Linked DNA regions of Arabidopsis thaliana. The protein of the gene in region 1 interacts with the protein of each later gene in a pairwise test. Each region holds a gene or a part of one and is shown in the gene's direction. Other genes may lie near its edges.

What was found. The genes of interacting proteins can lie anywhere in the genome.
Region 2: the proteins of AT1G14670 (region 1) and SKS2 interact in a protein complementation assay, tested with the Arabidopsis thaliana proteins (one large-scale study listed by BioGRID).

The regions. Positions count from the first base shown.
Region 1 is NC_003070.9:5,033,377-5,040,631, forward strand, and holds AT1G14670 (Endomembrane protein 70 protein family), read left to right. Parts: upstream 1-4,199; 5' UTR 4,200-4,292; coding exon 4,293-4,444; intron 4,445-4,723; coding exon 4,724-4,764; intron 4,765-4,872; coding exon 4,873-5,458; intron 5,459-5,534; coding exon 5,535-5,672; intron 5,673-5,782; coding exon 5,783-5,939; intron 5,940-6,034; coding exon 6,035-6,519; intron 6,520-6,603; coding exon 6,604-6,823; 3' UTR 6,824-7,221; downstream 7,222-7,255. Other genes in the region: NHX8 (Na+/H+ exchanger 8), read right to left, coding at 1-78, 392-499, 588-632, 769-953, 1,156-1,208, 1,341-1,385, 1,480-1,545, 1,622-1,674 and 7 more.
Region 2 is NC_003076.8:20,906,626-20,913,880, forward strand, and holds SKS2 (SKU5 similar 2), read left to right. Parts: upstream 1-3,578; 5' UTR 3,579-3,807; coding exon 3,808-3,948; intron 3,949-4,151; coding exon 4,152-4,261; intron 4,262-4,354; coding exon 4,355-4,625; intron 4,626-4,719; coding exon 4,720-4,855; intron 4,856-5,036; coding exon 5,037-5,403; intron 5,404-5,490; coding exon 5,491-5,859; intron 5,860-5,950; coding exon 5,951-6,029; intron 6,030-6,133; coding exon 6,134-6,333; intron 6,334-6,422; coding exon 6,423-6,528; 3' UTR 6,529-6,922; downstream 6,923-7,255. Other genes in the region: AT5G51470 (Auxin-responsive GH3 family protein), read left to right, coding at 662-948, 1,089-1,190, 1,279-2,060, 2,141-2,715; AT5G51490 (Plant invertase/pectin methylesterase inhibitor superfamily), read right to left, coding at 7,055-7,255.

The DNA.
Region 1 (7,255 bases):
CTCGTCATCTCCAAGATTTTCAAAAGCTTTTAAAGCAGTCTTCATCATTTCAAACTTTGTATACTCCAATATTCGTTTCTGTCAATAGAAAAAGAGGAGCATTATCATTATATTTCTGAAGCATTAGTTGCAAAGATTGTGCGTGTATATACATTAGAAGGATCGGTGACAGATTCTGAAGCAGGTTGATTCCCAATCTCTAACTACCTATTCTCGGTTTGTAAAACGCACAAACCTAAGCTAATATACCCACAACTGCAGAAGGATGCAGTCATTTGTGCATGTATAAAGACGGATGATCAGAGGTTCCATTATCTACCCATATATCCTGTCTTTGCTTTTTAGATTTGAAAAGTAGCAGCACAAGAGAATATAGGATTAACATACTGACCTTAGTGGCCGTTAAAGTGTCCATGCGAAGAAGGTGCAAGAGCAATTGGGTAGTGGATCCATTAACAACCAAAGTTAGGAAAACAATCCCACCTGTGAGGAATAGAAACTGCAAAACAGCTGAAACACATCAAGATAACAAAAAGAGCCTCCAGAAAGAAATTCAAAAGTAGTTCATACTGTGTTTCAGAACTCACCCTTGTTCCCGTATCTGAACTGAGATATGAATTTCCACTTGATTGCTGAATCATATGACCGAGAGCTATAGTATGTCAGAGAAAAGGAAATGGGAACATGAATATAAAAGATTTGAAAACAGATTTGAAATTAGTAGATATTGCTCTTGCATGAATGAAATGCCATTTCTTCAGAACTCACTTTTACAGATAGAGCGAGCGACAGCGAAACAGCACCCCTTAATCCAGACCACGTGAGTATGATGGATTCCTTCCAATCCAACCCATAGCCAGAACGGCATAGCAATGGGTACAAAACTCCAACAACAACACAGCGGGAAAGTTGGACATACAAGTATAAGAGGAAAAGGAAGCTCCACGAGTTTCCTGAAAAGAACGTTACGAGTAATGAATGGTCCTCTTAACCCCAATATATGTCAAAAAGAAAGCTACTGCGGTAATGGTATCAGGAATTAGCGATGTTATCCGTTAATCATGACGAATTCTAGGAGAAAACCTCCCTTTACATCTTCCAAGAACAAAATAAAAAAAAAATCCGGACGTAGAATAATAAATTGTGAAGAGACACCTTTGTAAGATATTGTCTGACCGCTAAGAACGCTTTCAGCGATAATAACTCCACTGCAATTCACAAGAGACACACATGCAATGATCTTGTATCAATCAGGTATCGGCTAAAACATCGTCTGCAGTATTTTGTTTGTAAAATAACCAGTAAATTTTTGTTTTCGAATCTTGCCAGACAGTTCGTACCTGAGCATAAAAACTAGTGTATTTGCAATGTAAGCGGCCATTTCCCTACAAAAGTTATAGGGCAATCATAAAAATATAATATATACATGTAAAGATTTCCTTTGATTTGACGAAAAAAGAACACTGAGTTGTGAAATACCAGAAGTGATGCAGACTCTGGTGACTGTCCCCCTTAAAAGCTGTCCTTGCAAATGCAGCGAAAAACCTATTACAATTATGTTATGAACAATGGCTTTTTGACACATAACAACAGAAAGAAGGGATAATTTACCACGACTTACATCCCCAAAATCATGACAGTCAAAATTCCAGAAACCCCAGCCCACTCTTGAGCCTGTACATAGTAGAAATTTCTTAGGTTTCCTAGAGATTTAAGATTCTCCATTGGGGACTAAGTTATGTAGAAGAGAAGAGCATACAGTGTAATAGGCGAAATAGCTCGCTGAAAGTGTTACAGTGATCTGAGCCACCGTGTCATTGAATATGAATTTAAGCCAAAAAACTGATGCAATTCCAAAAGCTAGACCAATGCCTACACTAAAAAACCAGAACAACATAAGCGGAGAAAAGAAGACAGCGACATACAATACTACTAACAAAGGAAAATAATCCATACGCTCCGAATGAGTTTTGGACAAGAAATTTGATTATGGAACCCCAATCAGAGTTATGCCCCATCACCATCTTGAAGAATAATTGAAAAACCACAACCGATACCCTGAATAATCCAAACAACTAAGCTTGATCATATATGACATAACATCACCTTGATGCTAAACATAAGAGTTTGACATGGTTACCCATCGTTCATGAGAGATTCCCCATCAATTAACGTGGTCATCTTCTTACTAGCACCAAGCTCCTTTAGCAAAGCAACAACAGCCACGGGGTCGGTAGCTCCTAAAAGTCCTCCAAGCAACAATGATGTTTTCCAGTCCCAGTTATATGGAAAAGTAAGCTACAAGAGCATAACTCGAAAAAATTGTTAAGTTAATTGAAGCTCACTTAATCACAGTCGAAAATGTTGAAGCTAGTTAAAGTACCTTTATAAGAGCTCCGAGACAAAAGGTGGAAATCAGAACTCCAGGTCCAGCAAGCAGAACCATTTGTCCCATACATCTCTACCAATGATGTAAAACAATCAATACCAGGAACCAACACAGCCAAGGAAGTAGCTCAATCAGGAAAGTAAAAACCTTGATCTGGTGCACATCCATGGAGAATGAGCTCTCGAAAAGAAGAACAGGGAGAAAAACAGCCAAAAGTAGGTCAGGGTTGATACCATTCCCTGTAAAGTTGCCATTTTTTAGAGCTCGTAATCTAACAGTATGGAGAAGAGAAAATACAGTAGCTTACAGATACGAATTCCATGGCCGAGCTTCCCAAGGTTATGCTTAGTTCCATATTCTACAGAAGCAAAAAAATCCAAAATTTAACTACTTTCTAAAATCTTCCACGAAATTGAAACTGAGCTATAAAGCTTAATGAGCAAACAAATAAGACCTAGGGATCCGAGAAAAATGCCGATGACGAGAAGAACGACGGTGTACGGAACTCTAGTGCCGTTAAACAAATATCTACAAGCGGTGCCGAGAACCAGCGAAGTTCCCGCGAAAATAACAGCATCAACAGGACTCGAATCGTTCTCAGCTGAATACGAAGAAGATGCAATTGCTTTCTCCGGTGATTTGTACGGCAACGCCGCGCCGATTATACTCGTCATCTCCGGTAGAAAGAAGCAAACGATCAATCTTTCGTTTTGCCAGTGATTACGGTCAAAGATGCTTTTACCGAACCGAATCTGCTTCGTTTAAGAGTGAACCAAGATTGAATCTAGTCTGGTTTGGCTTGACCTGTTTTATTTCGGTTACGTCTGGTTTTCTATCACTAATTTGAACGAAAATTTGAGAAATCTTAATACGTTTTTGATTAGGTTTCTGTTTTCTTTGCTAGATATGAATGTAGTTACTGGATTATACTACTCTGTTCAAATGAAGGGTACATATATTTACATGAACCAAATTATGAAATAACAAAACCGACTCACTCTAGTCTCTAAACTTAACTAGTGTCACTTTTGTTTGTTTGTTTTGATCCATACTTCAATGTATCTTGTTCAAATTGTTTGATTTTATTTTTGGTATAAGTGGCTACATTGTAATTTCTTGCTGATTCAATCTATAAATCGAAAACCTTAAATTATCCATGCCTCAAAACGATGCACGTTGTGTATAAATGAGAATTTTAAATTGTTTAGTTTCTATAATTGCTGTCATGACGTGAGATCATGCAAAGCAATTACGTACGATAACGCACGTAAAGGAAAAATGATTATCAGATTCATATATTTTTTTTTTCAAAAACTTGGTCTCGTGTAACATCATTCGTCATTCTTCATATTCACTATACTATAACCACAAAAGATATTAAAAAAATAGTCACTCCACTCCACATCTAATACAAAGAAGTAATAATTTAACTATTCAAAATTTATGAAGTGTTAATACGATAAGATTTTCGACCCAAGGAAAAAAAACACTATAAGATACATAGGTTTGGCAGAACAATTAGTTCGCTCACTGCCTACATATTCTTTTTTTGGTTTAATTAGCCTACATATGGGAAAATGATTTGTATTTTGTTAAATGCCACTCACATTTGTTATAAATAATTAGTCTTGGTTTCAAAAGCCATATATTTATGAATTTATAGACATTGATATTTATTTTTATGGTTGGAAATGGTATAAAGTATTATTGACTATAGTTTTTTTATGTATTTTTCTTATGAAATAAAGTGAGAAAATAATAAAAATATTAAAATTTGTGTAGCTGACTCGAGTTTGATTGAAGTCTTTGGTATATAAATATTGTCGTTATTTCCTCCATTTTTCTCCCTCTTCTCCCAAATAAAAAAAGTTACTCAGATCTCACGATTTGAGCAGAATACGCAATGAGGACACCGACGACGATTCTCCTTCTTGTCGGAGCTATCCTCTTCTCCGGCGCCGGCTATGTCAGATCCGACGCCTCCGACCACCGTTACAAGGAAGGAGACACCGTTCCTCTCTACGCCAACAAGGTCGGCCCATTTCACAATCCAAGGTAAACGGAAACATCTATTCTAGATCTGAGCTTCAGATCTGAGGTTGTTTCCCATTCTTAAGCCTGAGGATGATAAATTGATCGTTTATTGTTGAATCTGTTGCTATTGAATTGAGTAACGACATTGATAACTGAGTACACTGCAAAATGCGTAATGTTAAAACCAAAGAGTGAAAGAAGAAACTACATTTGGAATGTTTTTCGTTTATGTGATGGATCTGTCTTAGATTTGAATACTATTATATGACTGATTTTGGTTTTGTTCAATGATGATTGCAGTGAGACGTATCGATATTTTGATCTTCCCTTCTGTATCCCAGGTATGCTTATATCTTTACTAGCTTAATCACACGATTTGTGTTTAAGCCGCAACTGATTTGTGTGACATCTCCTGATTCGATCATCCCATTATTGAATATGGTTTATAGAGGGTGTGAAAGAGAAGAAGGAAGCTCTTGGCGAGGTTCTAAACGGGGATCGGCTAGTTAGCGCTCCATACAAGCTCAACTTCAGAGATGAAAAAGAGTCTGAGGTATACTGCAACAAGAAGTTGAGTAAAGAAGAGGTCAAACAGTTCAGAAAAGCTGTTGAGAAGGACTACTACTTCCAGATGTACTATGATGATCTACCTATCTGGGGATTCATTGGAAAGGTTGACAAGGATATCAAATCTGATCCGAGTGAATTCAAATATTTCTTGTACAAGCACATTCAGTTTGAGATTCTATACAATAAGGACCGTGTGATCGAGATCAGTGCTAGAATGGATCCTCATTCGCTTGTGGATCTCACTGAGGATAAGGAAGTTGATGCAGAGTTTATGTACACTGTGAAGTGGAAGGAAACTGAGACTCCTTTTGAGAAAAGAATGGAGAAGTACTCTATGTCTTCTTCTCTTCCACATCATTTGGAAATCCACTGGTTCTCCATTATTAACTCCTGTGTCACTGTCCTTCTTTTGACTGGATTCCTTGCAACTATCTTGATGCGAGTCCTCAAGAACGATTTCATGAAGTAAGTTTCAAGTTTCCTCACTGTCGACTGTTTTACACTTGTCTATCTCATCTAACCTTATTCCAATGCTTAAAAGGTATGCTCAAGATGAGGAAGCTGCTGATGATCAAGAGGAAACTGGATGGAAGTACATTCATGGCGATGTGTTTCGGTTCCCTACTCACAATTCTTTATTTGCTGCATCGCTCGGTAGTGGCACTCAATTGTTCACGCTGTAAGTCTCTCATAACTCGAATACTTTCCATCTGGATACACTTTCATCCATATCCGCATTTCTTCTTACTGTAACTAACTGTAGCTTTTCCTTTTATTCCATGTCATCAGCACCATATTTATTTTCATGCTTGCTCTTGTTGGAGTGTTCTACCCATACAACCGAGGAGCACTCTTTACCGCTTTGGTGGTCATTTACGCTCTCACTTCTGGAATTGCCGGATACACATCTGCCTCTTTCTACTGTCAACTTGAAGGAAAAAGCTGGGTAAATATTTACACATGATGAGAATCATCCCTGTCTCTCAAAAAATCATCTTCAACTGAAATAAACAACTTCTCCCTTTTTTGACATTATTGCAGGTGAGGAACTTGTTACTCACTGGATGTCTCTTCTGTGGCCCATTATTCCTAACCTTTTGCTTCCTTAACACCGTAGCCATCACCTACACTGCAACCGCTGCATTACCCTTTGGAACCATTGTGGTGATCGTCCTTATATGGACTCTAGTTACCTCACCTTTACTCGTTTTGGGTGGTATCGCGGGTAAAAACAGCAAAGCAGAGTTCCAAGCACCATGCCGTACAACCAAATATCCTCGTGAGATTCCACCACTCCCTTGGTACAGAAGTGCTATTCCTCAGATGGCCATGGCTGGTTTTCTTCCTTTCAGTGCCATCTACATCGAGCTTTACTACATTTTCGCTAGTGTCTGGGGTCACCGGATCTACACCATCTACAGCATCTTATTCATCGTTTTCATCATTCTCATCATCGTCACTGCTTTTATAACCGTTGCCTTGACTTACTTCCAACTCGCTGCTGAAGATCACCAATGGTGGTGGAGGTTCGTTAAACTCAGCTAATCGTCTCTATTCTTTTCTCTCTGACCATGAGAACTTGAGTCTGATTCTACAAATTTCTATTGCAGATCATTCCTATGTGGTGGATCGACCGGTTTGTTTATCTACGCATACTGCTTATACTATTACTACGCACGATCAGACATGTCGGGTTTTATGCAAACCTCGTTTTTCTTCGGATACATGGCTTGCATTTGCTACGGATTCTTCTTAATGCTCGGAACAGTTGGCTTCCGCGCAGCCCTCCTCTTTGTCCGTCACATTTACCGGTCGATCAAATGCGAGTAAGAAGGTCTGTACACCAATCTTCTTATGTTGATTTCCTTCTTCTTCTTCTGCCTTCTTACGAATTTTGCTTAGAACAAAGAAGATAAAGAGATAGGTTGTTAGAAAGAAGAGAGACACAAAGACAATGTCTGATTATTTTCTAAAGAAGCATCTCTTCTCATTAGAGGTTTTAGCGAGAGTCTCTCTTCTTCTCTCTTTATTTTGGGCTACAGAAATTAAATTACTTGTATCCTTTCTATATATTTTACCTATTGTAAAAGACTATCAATACCTTTGAATTCGAGTTTCTTTGTATCTAATAAATTTCAAAACACACATATTTTCTCCTTCATATATATCTTCAGTCTATACTGCACAATAAAAATAATAATTTGAAGATGTAACTAAATAAATATTGGAGAGCTAAATTGAAGTAAATTGCATATTTTTGTA
Region 2 (7,255 bases), on another chromosome or scaffold:
TGAACATTAACAATGTTGATTTTTATCAACGGTTTGCAACTGCATGCAGTTGTGGAATTGCCAAATAGTGCCATGGAAAATATGTGCATAAATTAATTTCAAGCCATACTTGGTTTGAATAAGCATGATTATATTACATATGCGTTTACAAATTTTTGAATAAAATCTGCAAAATTCGAACCCCCATATCAAATCTTGAATATCCCAAAGTATAATTCAGTAGAAAACGGAGATTTACTTTGTAAATCATAAAGATATTCTGACAGTACATAATTATTATATATTTAAGTCGGATTAACGATGTTTAGCTTCATTTTTCAAGAATTCTAACATGAAAAATTGGATATATATAGGTCTCAGATTCTTACATGTGAATTGTGAAATATTGTGAGTTGGAGAAGCGTGCTTTTGTTCAACCGTGCGCTTTACGTAAAGGTATGTCATTGGTGCATGGGAGCCTTTAATTTTTTACTGTAAAAATATCTCAAGTGACCCGTGAATCTAAAGATTATAAAGATTACATATATAGAGAAGGCTCGTTTGTCTTTAATATACATAAACTAGCAATATTTGAATATTCATGGCATGACCCCATTATTGCTATATAAAAAGAGCCAAGTGTCCAATTCCTGATTTCAGATGAAGTAAAAGACAACCAAATATGAGTTTATGCTCTGATCTCACTGAGAAATTAGACGAGGAGATTTTAGAGGACTTGACGTCCAATGTGAAGCAAATACAAGACAACGTATTGGAGGAGATACTCACACTTAATGCTAACACAGAGTATCTTCGACGTTTTCTCCATGGGAGCTCTAGTAAAGAGCTTTTCAAGAAGAACGTCCCTGTGGTGACCTACGAGGATGTGAAGCCTTTTATCGATCGTGTCACGAATGGAGAGCCCTCTGATATTATCTCTGGCAACCCCATTACCGGATTCCTTCTAAGGTATATACTTTTCATTTCCTGGCTTTTTTCTTCTTTTCAAAAATTGTATTAGAGCAACTTTATCATTGGTTATTATACAATCAATGTGAGTGATGTTAGAAACTCTAGAGATAATGTGCTCTAATGGTTTTTCACTGTAGTTCTGGAACATCCGGAGGAAAACAGAAGATGTTTCCTCGTAACAACAAGTACTTGGAAAACATAAAATTCATCTTTTATTACCGATCGCTCGTTATAAGCAAGTAATGATGATAACACAACATATTCTTTTAATAAAACATTTTTATATTTGTAGATTATTGATGAAAGTCTCTTTTGGTGTCATGATAGGCATATAGATGGTCTTGAACATGGAAAGGGAATGGTATTTAACTTTTGTACATCAGAGAACACAACTCCTTCTGGTTTGCCATCATCAGCTGCATCGACGAGCTTCTTCAAGAGTGATTATTTCAAGAACCGACCATCGTATTGGCATTGGTCTTACACAAGCCCTGACGAAGTCATATTGTGTTCAGACACCAAGCAGACTTTGTACTGTCATCTTCTATGCGGTCTTGTTCAAAGAGACGATGTTGTGAAGGTTGGTGCCGCCTTTGTTACTATTTTGGTCCGAGCAATAAATCTTCTTGAGAATTCTTGGAAGGAAATTTGCACTAATATCCGTTTTGGTCATCTTAGTGAGTGGATCACTGATATTAGTTGTAGAGACTCCGTTTCAAAGATTCTTGGAGAGCCTAATCCTGAATTGGCTGATCTCATAGAAAATGAATGCAACAATAAATCATGGGAAGGTATAGTTCCAAGACTTTGGCCTAAAGCCAAATTCATAGAATGCATTGCAACCGGTCAAATGGCTCAACACATCCCAACATTGGAGTTTTACTCTAACAAGTTGCCATCGATTTCCTCGAGTTACGTATCTTCTGAAACTATGTTTGGTATTAATATGAGTCCTCTTTGCAAACCAGAAAATGTATCATACACATTTCTGCCCAACTTGTCATATTTTGAGTTCCTACTTGTTGATGCCGGTGACAAAACCGAAATTGTTGATCTCGTGGATGTCAAGTTAGGGTGCTATTACGAGCCCTTGGTCACAAATCATTCCGGTGAGTACTTAGGAAAAATTATTGATATATATACATACACTCGACTAATCGATTAATTATATTGTTTTTGTTTTTGCTAGGCCTACACAGATATAAGATGGGTGATATTTTACTGGTGACTGGATTTTATAATAATGCACCTCAATTTAGATTTGTGCGTAGAGGAAATCTGACTCTAAGTATTCATTTGGAGATAACTACAGATGAAGACCTTTTAAACGCGGTCACAGACGCAAAGATGGTTCTTGAATCATCAAATTTGATGTTGATGGACTTCACAAGCTATGCGGATATTTCTACTACTCCGGGTCATTATGTTCTTTATTGGGAGCTCAAAGCAAAATACCGCAACGACATTGTTGAAATCGATAAGAATGTTTTGGTAGAATGTTGCTATGTGGTGGAAGAATCATTGAACAATTCTTATAGAGTATATAGGAGTAAAGGTGGATTAATTGGAGCTTTGGAGATAAGATTGGTGCAGCAAGGAACTTTTGATGCTCTCATGGAGTTTTTCATCACTCAAGGTGCTTCTTCAACTCAATACAAGACACCTATTTGCATCAAATCTACTGAGGCCTTGGTGATTTTAGAAGAAAATGTCCATGCTTGTTTCTTTACTGATAAGTCCCTTTCTTTGAACTTTTCGTCATAATCTCTATATTATGTAGGCATTGAAATAAAAGCTCGTGGTAAACAACATGAAACGAGATCAAACGCATGCCCTTGAAACTCATTTTTTAAGTGTATCTCTTATTATTATTTTATTTTTATGTAAGTGTATCACTGTTGACACATAACATTTCAAATGCCAATGTAAAAGCAACGACTAAGGAAGAGTCTTGTGCATGCAATATGAAAATGAGAAATCGAAAAGGTTAACATTATATTGTTGGCAAAATAAACGAGACCTTGAATTATGTTCATTATTTACGTATCATACATAAGCTTAAAATTATGTTCATGAGACCTTGAATTATGTTCATTATGTACGTACATAAGCTTATGAACATAATTCAAGGTCTCATTAAGCTCATTAGCTGTCAACATTATGTACGTACATTATGTTAGTTCTTAAAATAATCAAATCAAACTATTCTAGGATATAAAATGAACATAATTTGAAGAAGAAACACTAATTAACTGTCTACAGTCTACACACATTTATAACGCAATTAGATCCCAAACAAAAGCATACCACACACGTATCTACCAAAATTATCAATAAAATCACATCTTTATAGAAATGGAAGTTTCCTTAAATAAGAATTTACACATCGTTAATGGAATGTAATCAGTAGAAATAGAAAGAAACAATAATAAGAAATCAATGAGAATCATTGGCGTAATTGTGTCAGTATCTAATGCACATCCACTTATATATAGACACATATTTTTAACTTTATTACAAATTAATTACAATTTAGACGAACCGGTTAATTCGGTAACCAGTAATACTAACGCGTTTAGGGATTAGTATCAACAGCAAAATCTGTGTCACTAAATTAATAAATAAATAGAGAATATAAATTCCTCATTTTGGTTTCTTCTTCAACCTCTTTGTCAGAGAAGTTTCAAAAAACCCACACACACACTTTACACACTCTTCATCTTCTTCTTCTTCCTCTTCGTCTTCTTCTTCATCATCGTTTTCGATTTGTTGCTCCGATAATGTCGTTCCTATAACCCGAAGATCATCAACGAAGAAAGCGAAAAAAACCTCAAAAAATCACTGAGATTATTACAAATGGCGGCTACTGATTTTTTCTTCGCTTTCGTCTTCTCTTTCGCTCTTATCTTCGGCTTCTCTTTCGCTGGTGATCCTTACGTCTCTTACGATTTCACCCTCTCCTACATCACTGCTTCTCCTCTCGGTGTTCCTCAACAGGTTTCGTTTCGCTTCCATTTTTTTCCCTCTTAAAACCCTATTTTTTCCTTCGAAATTGAGGTTTTGAAACGTTAATCTAGTGATTTTGTCTCCTTGATTTTGCTAATAACGTAGTTGTTGCTCTAGATCTAACATTACGATTAACTCGTCGGAGGTGGTTTCAAAGTTTGAGCTTATCAGATTGGATTTTGTTTCGTGTGTAGGTTATAGCAGTCAATGGGAAATTTCCAGGTCCTGTGATTAACGCTACGACAAACTACAATGTTCATGTTAACGTACTCAATCATTTGGATGAGCCTCTTTTACTTACTTGGTGATGATCCATCTCTTAACATTCTCATAATCACTTGTGGCTGCTTCTTAGGATTTGTTGTTGTGATTCCTGACATTGTGTTTATTTGGATAGGCCTGGTGTTCAGATGAGGCGTAACTCGTGGCAAGACGGTGTTCTTGGAACAAACTGTCCAATTCCACCGAATTGGAACTTCACTTATGATTTTCAGTTGAAAGATCAGATTGGAAGTTATTTCTACTCTCCTTCACTTAACTTTCAGAGAGCCTCTGGTGGTTTTGGTGCACTCATAATCAATAACAGAGACCTTGTTCCTATTCCGTTCACTGAGCCTGATGGTGAAATCATCTTTATTATTGGTGATTGGTATACTCAGAACCATACAGTAAGTGCAGTTTTGGTGTCTAGATGGTGTTTAGTGATGACTTTTGGTTCTGAGTGTTATGTTTTTATATTTGTGAAACTCTGTTTTCTTTCAGGCTTTAAGGAGGATACTTGACTCTGGTAAAGAACTTGGGATGCCCGATGGAGTACTCATCAATGGGAAAGGTCCTTTCAAGTACAATAGCAGTGTACCTGATGGAATTGAACATGAAACCGTTAATGTTGATCCAGGTAACATTTTTAGAGTTGTATTTTAACTTTGCTTTCATTCTGTTTCCATTTGCATTTGGTTGTGGAATTGTGTGCATTGGATCTCCAGTTTCAGTTTTTTTTGTTGCTGTCATTGCTTTGCAAATCAAAGTTGGCTTTGATATTTCTTCCCTCTTACTTCATTCTGAGTTACATTTTACAGGGAAAACATACAGGATCCGTGTTCACAATGTTGGTATCTCGACAAGCTTGAACTTCAGGATTCAGAACCACAAATTGCTCTTGATTGAGACTGAGGGTCGCTACACCTCCCAAATGAACTTCACCGATTTTGATGTTCATGTGGGACAGTCTTATTCTTTCCTGGTAACCATGGACCAAAACGCCACAAGTGACTACTACATTGTGGCGAGTGCTAGATTTGTTAATGAAACAGTGTGGCAAAGAGTCACAGGTGTTGGCATTCTCCATTATTCCAATTCCAAAGGACCTGCTTCTGGTCCTTTGCCAGTTTCAGCAACTGATGTTAATCACCCTTGGTCTGCAATGAACCAACCGAGAGCCATAAAGTATGTCTAGAAAACTGTTCAAGCAAATGAATGTTTCACATAAACCTGTAGCCATGTAAATGTGATCCTGATTCTTTTCATATGCAGGCAAAACACATCTGCAAGTGGAGCTCGTCCAAATCCGCAGGGATCATTTCACTACGGACAGATCAACATTACAAGAACATACATCTTGAGGAGTTTGCCTCCAACAAAAATCAATGGGAAACTTCGTGCTACACTTAATGGAATTTCATTTGTCAATCCAAGCACCCCCATGAGGCTTGCGGATGACCATAAAGTGAAAGGAGATTATATGTTAGATTTTCCAGACAGACCACTTGATGAAAAACTTCCACGTTTGTCCAGCTCTATCATCAACGCAACATACAAGGGCTTTATACAAGTTATCTTCCAGAACAATGACACCAAAATCCAGAGCTTCCATATTGATGGATATGCATTTTACGTGGTTGCGTAAGTAAATCATGCCACTCTTGGGTACATTTATTACATTTTCGATCAGTTTAACTGGTCTAACGAGGATTTTCAAATTTTGGTATTCCAGGATGGACTTTGGTATATGGTCAGAAGACAGAAACAGTTCTTATAACAACTGGGATGCAGTAGCACGAAGCACGGTGGAGGTAAACTCTCATTTGCAATCGGTCTCTGTACACCATTTGAAGTGATAATATTGGTCAGCAGGTTTACTTTATTGGGTACTTTTTTGTTTTAACGTTTGCTTCAGGTCTATCCAGGAGCATGGACTGCTGTACTTATTTCTCTCGATAATGTTGGAGTTTGGAATATCCGGGTTGAGAATCTTGACAGATGGTATCTTGGCCAAGAAACATACATGCGAATTATAAACCCTGAGGAAAACGGAAGTACGGAAATGGATCCGCCTGAAAATGTTATGTATTGTGGTGCTCTTCAGGCCATGCAAAAGTAAGGATCAGAAACTTTACTCTCTGCTTCTCTAATTTAACCTTTATGTAAAACAAACTAAGAAACTCTTATTTGCTGTTTTCCTCCAGGGAACAACATCACAGCTCGGCCACAAAATCAATGACAAATGGACAGTTGATACTAATTTTCAGCATGATGATGGTTTTGCTCTCCTCGTTTTCGTCCTTTTGCTGAGTCTGTTCCATCATTTACGAATCTACTCTGGTTTGGTATTCTGATCTCCCATTAGGGCTGTAGATGGAGAATGTATAACTACAAACAGCAGTTGGGTTCGTTCTGTTTCTCTCATATTTCATTGATTGTTAGGTACTCATATCTTCTATCCTCATGATTCTAAACAACGTTAGTTCGTGAGGGTTTGTGTTTAGAGCTTTGTTCTTCGTAGTTCTAGGTCATTTGGAGTTCAAAACTTTGGCAACGACTGTAACTAAAGTTCTCATTTGTGGGTCTTCTACATTAATTTCTACTATTATCCTCGTTTCTGGATATTCAATATGCAATGCTACTTCTGTTTGGGACAATTATTAGGACATGTAACATTCGAAAATTCGTTTCGATCATGTTTTTGCAGTGGTACTGAAATCTCGTTCTTCCATCTATAGCTAAAACTTCAGTTTCATAATAGGCATAATGAGTTATATATTCAAAAGTATAAAATTTATATCATTGCAACTTAAACACGAAAAACCAAAGACGGTCTTTAGAGTCCAGAAGTGAAGGGTATGCCGGTGCGTGGGAGCCATGCTGTACCAGCGATAAACTTTCCAACAGTGAAAGCAGATGCATCGGAAGCTCTACCCAACACATGAAACCCTTTCCAACTGACACGCCACCTCGTGGATGAAGCTGGTCCAGTATTCTTATATTCTGCATAGAAGAGAGTGTCCAGACCAAACACCGA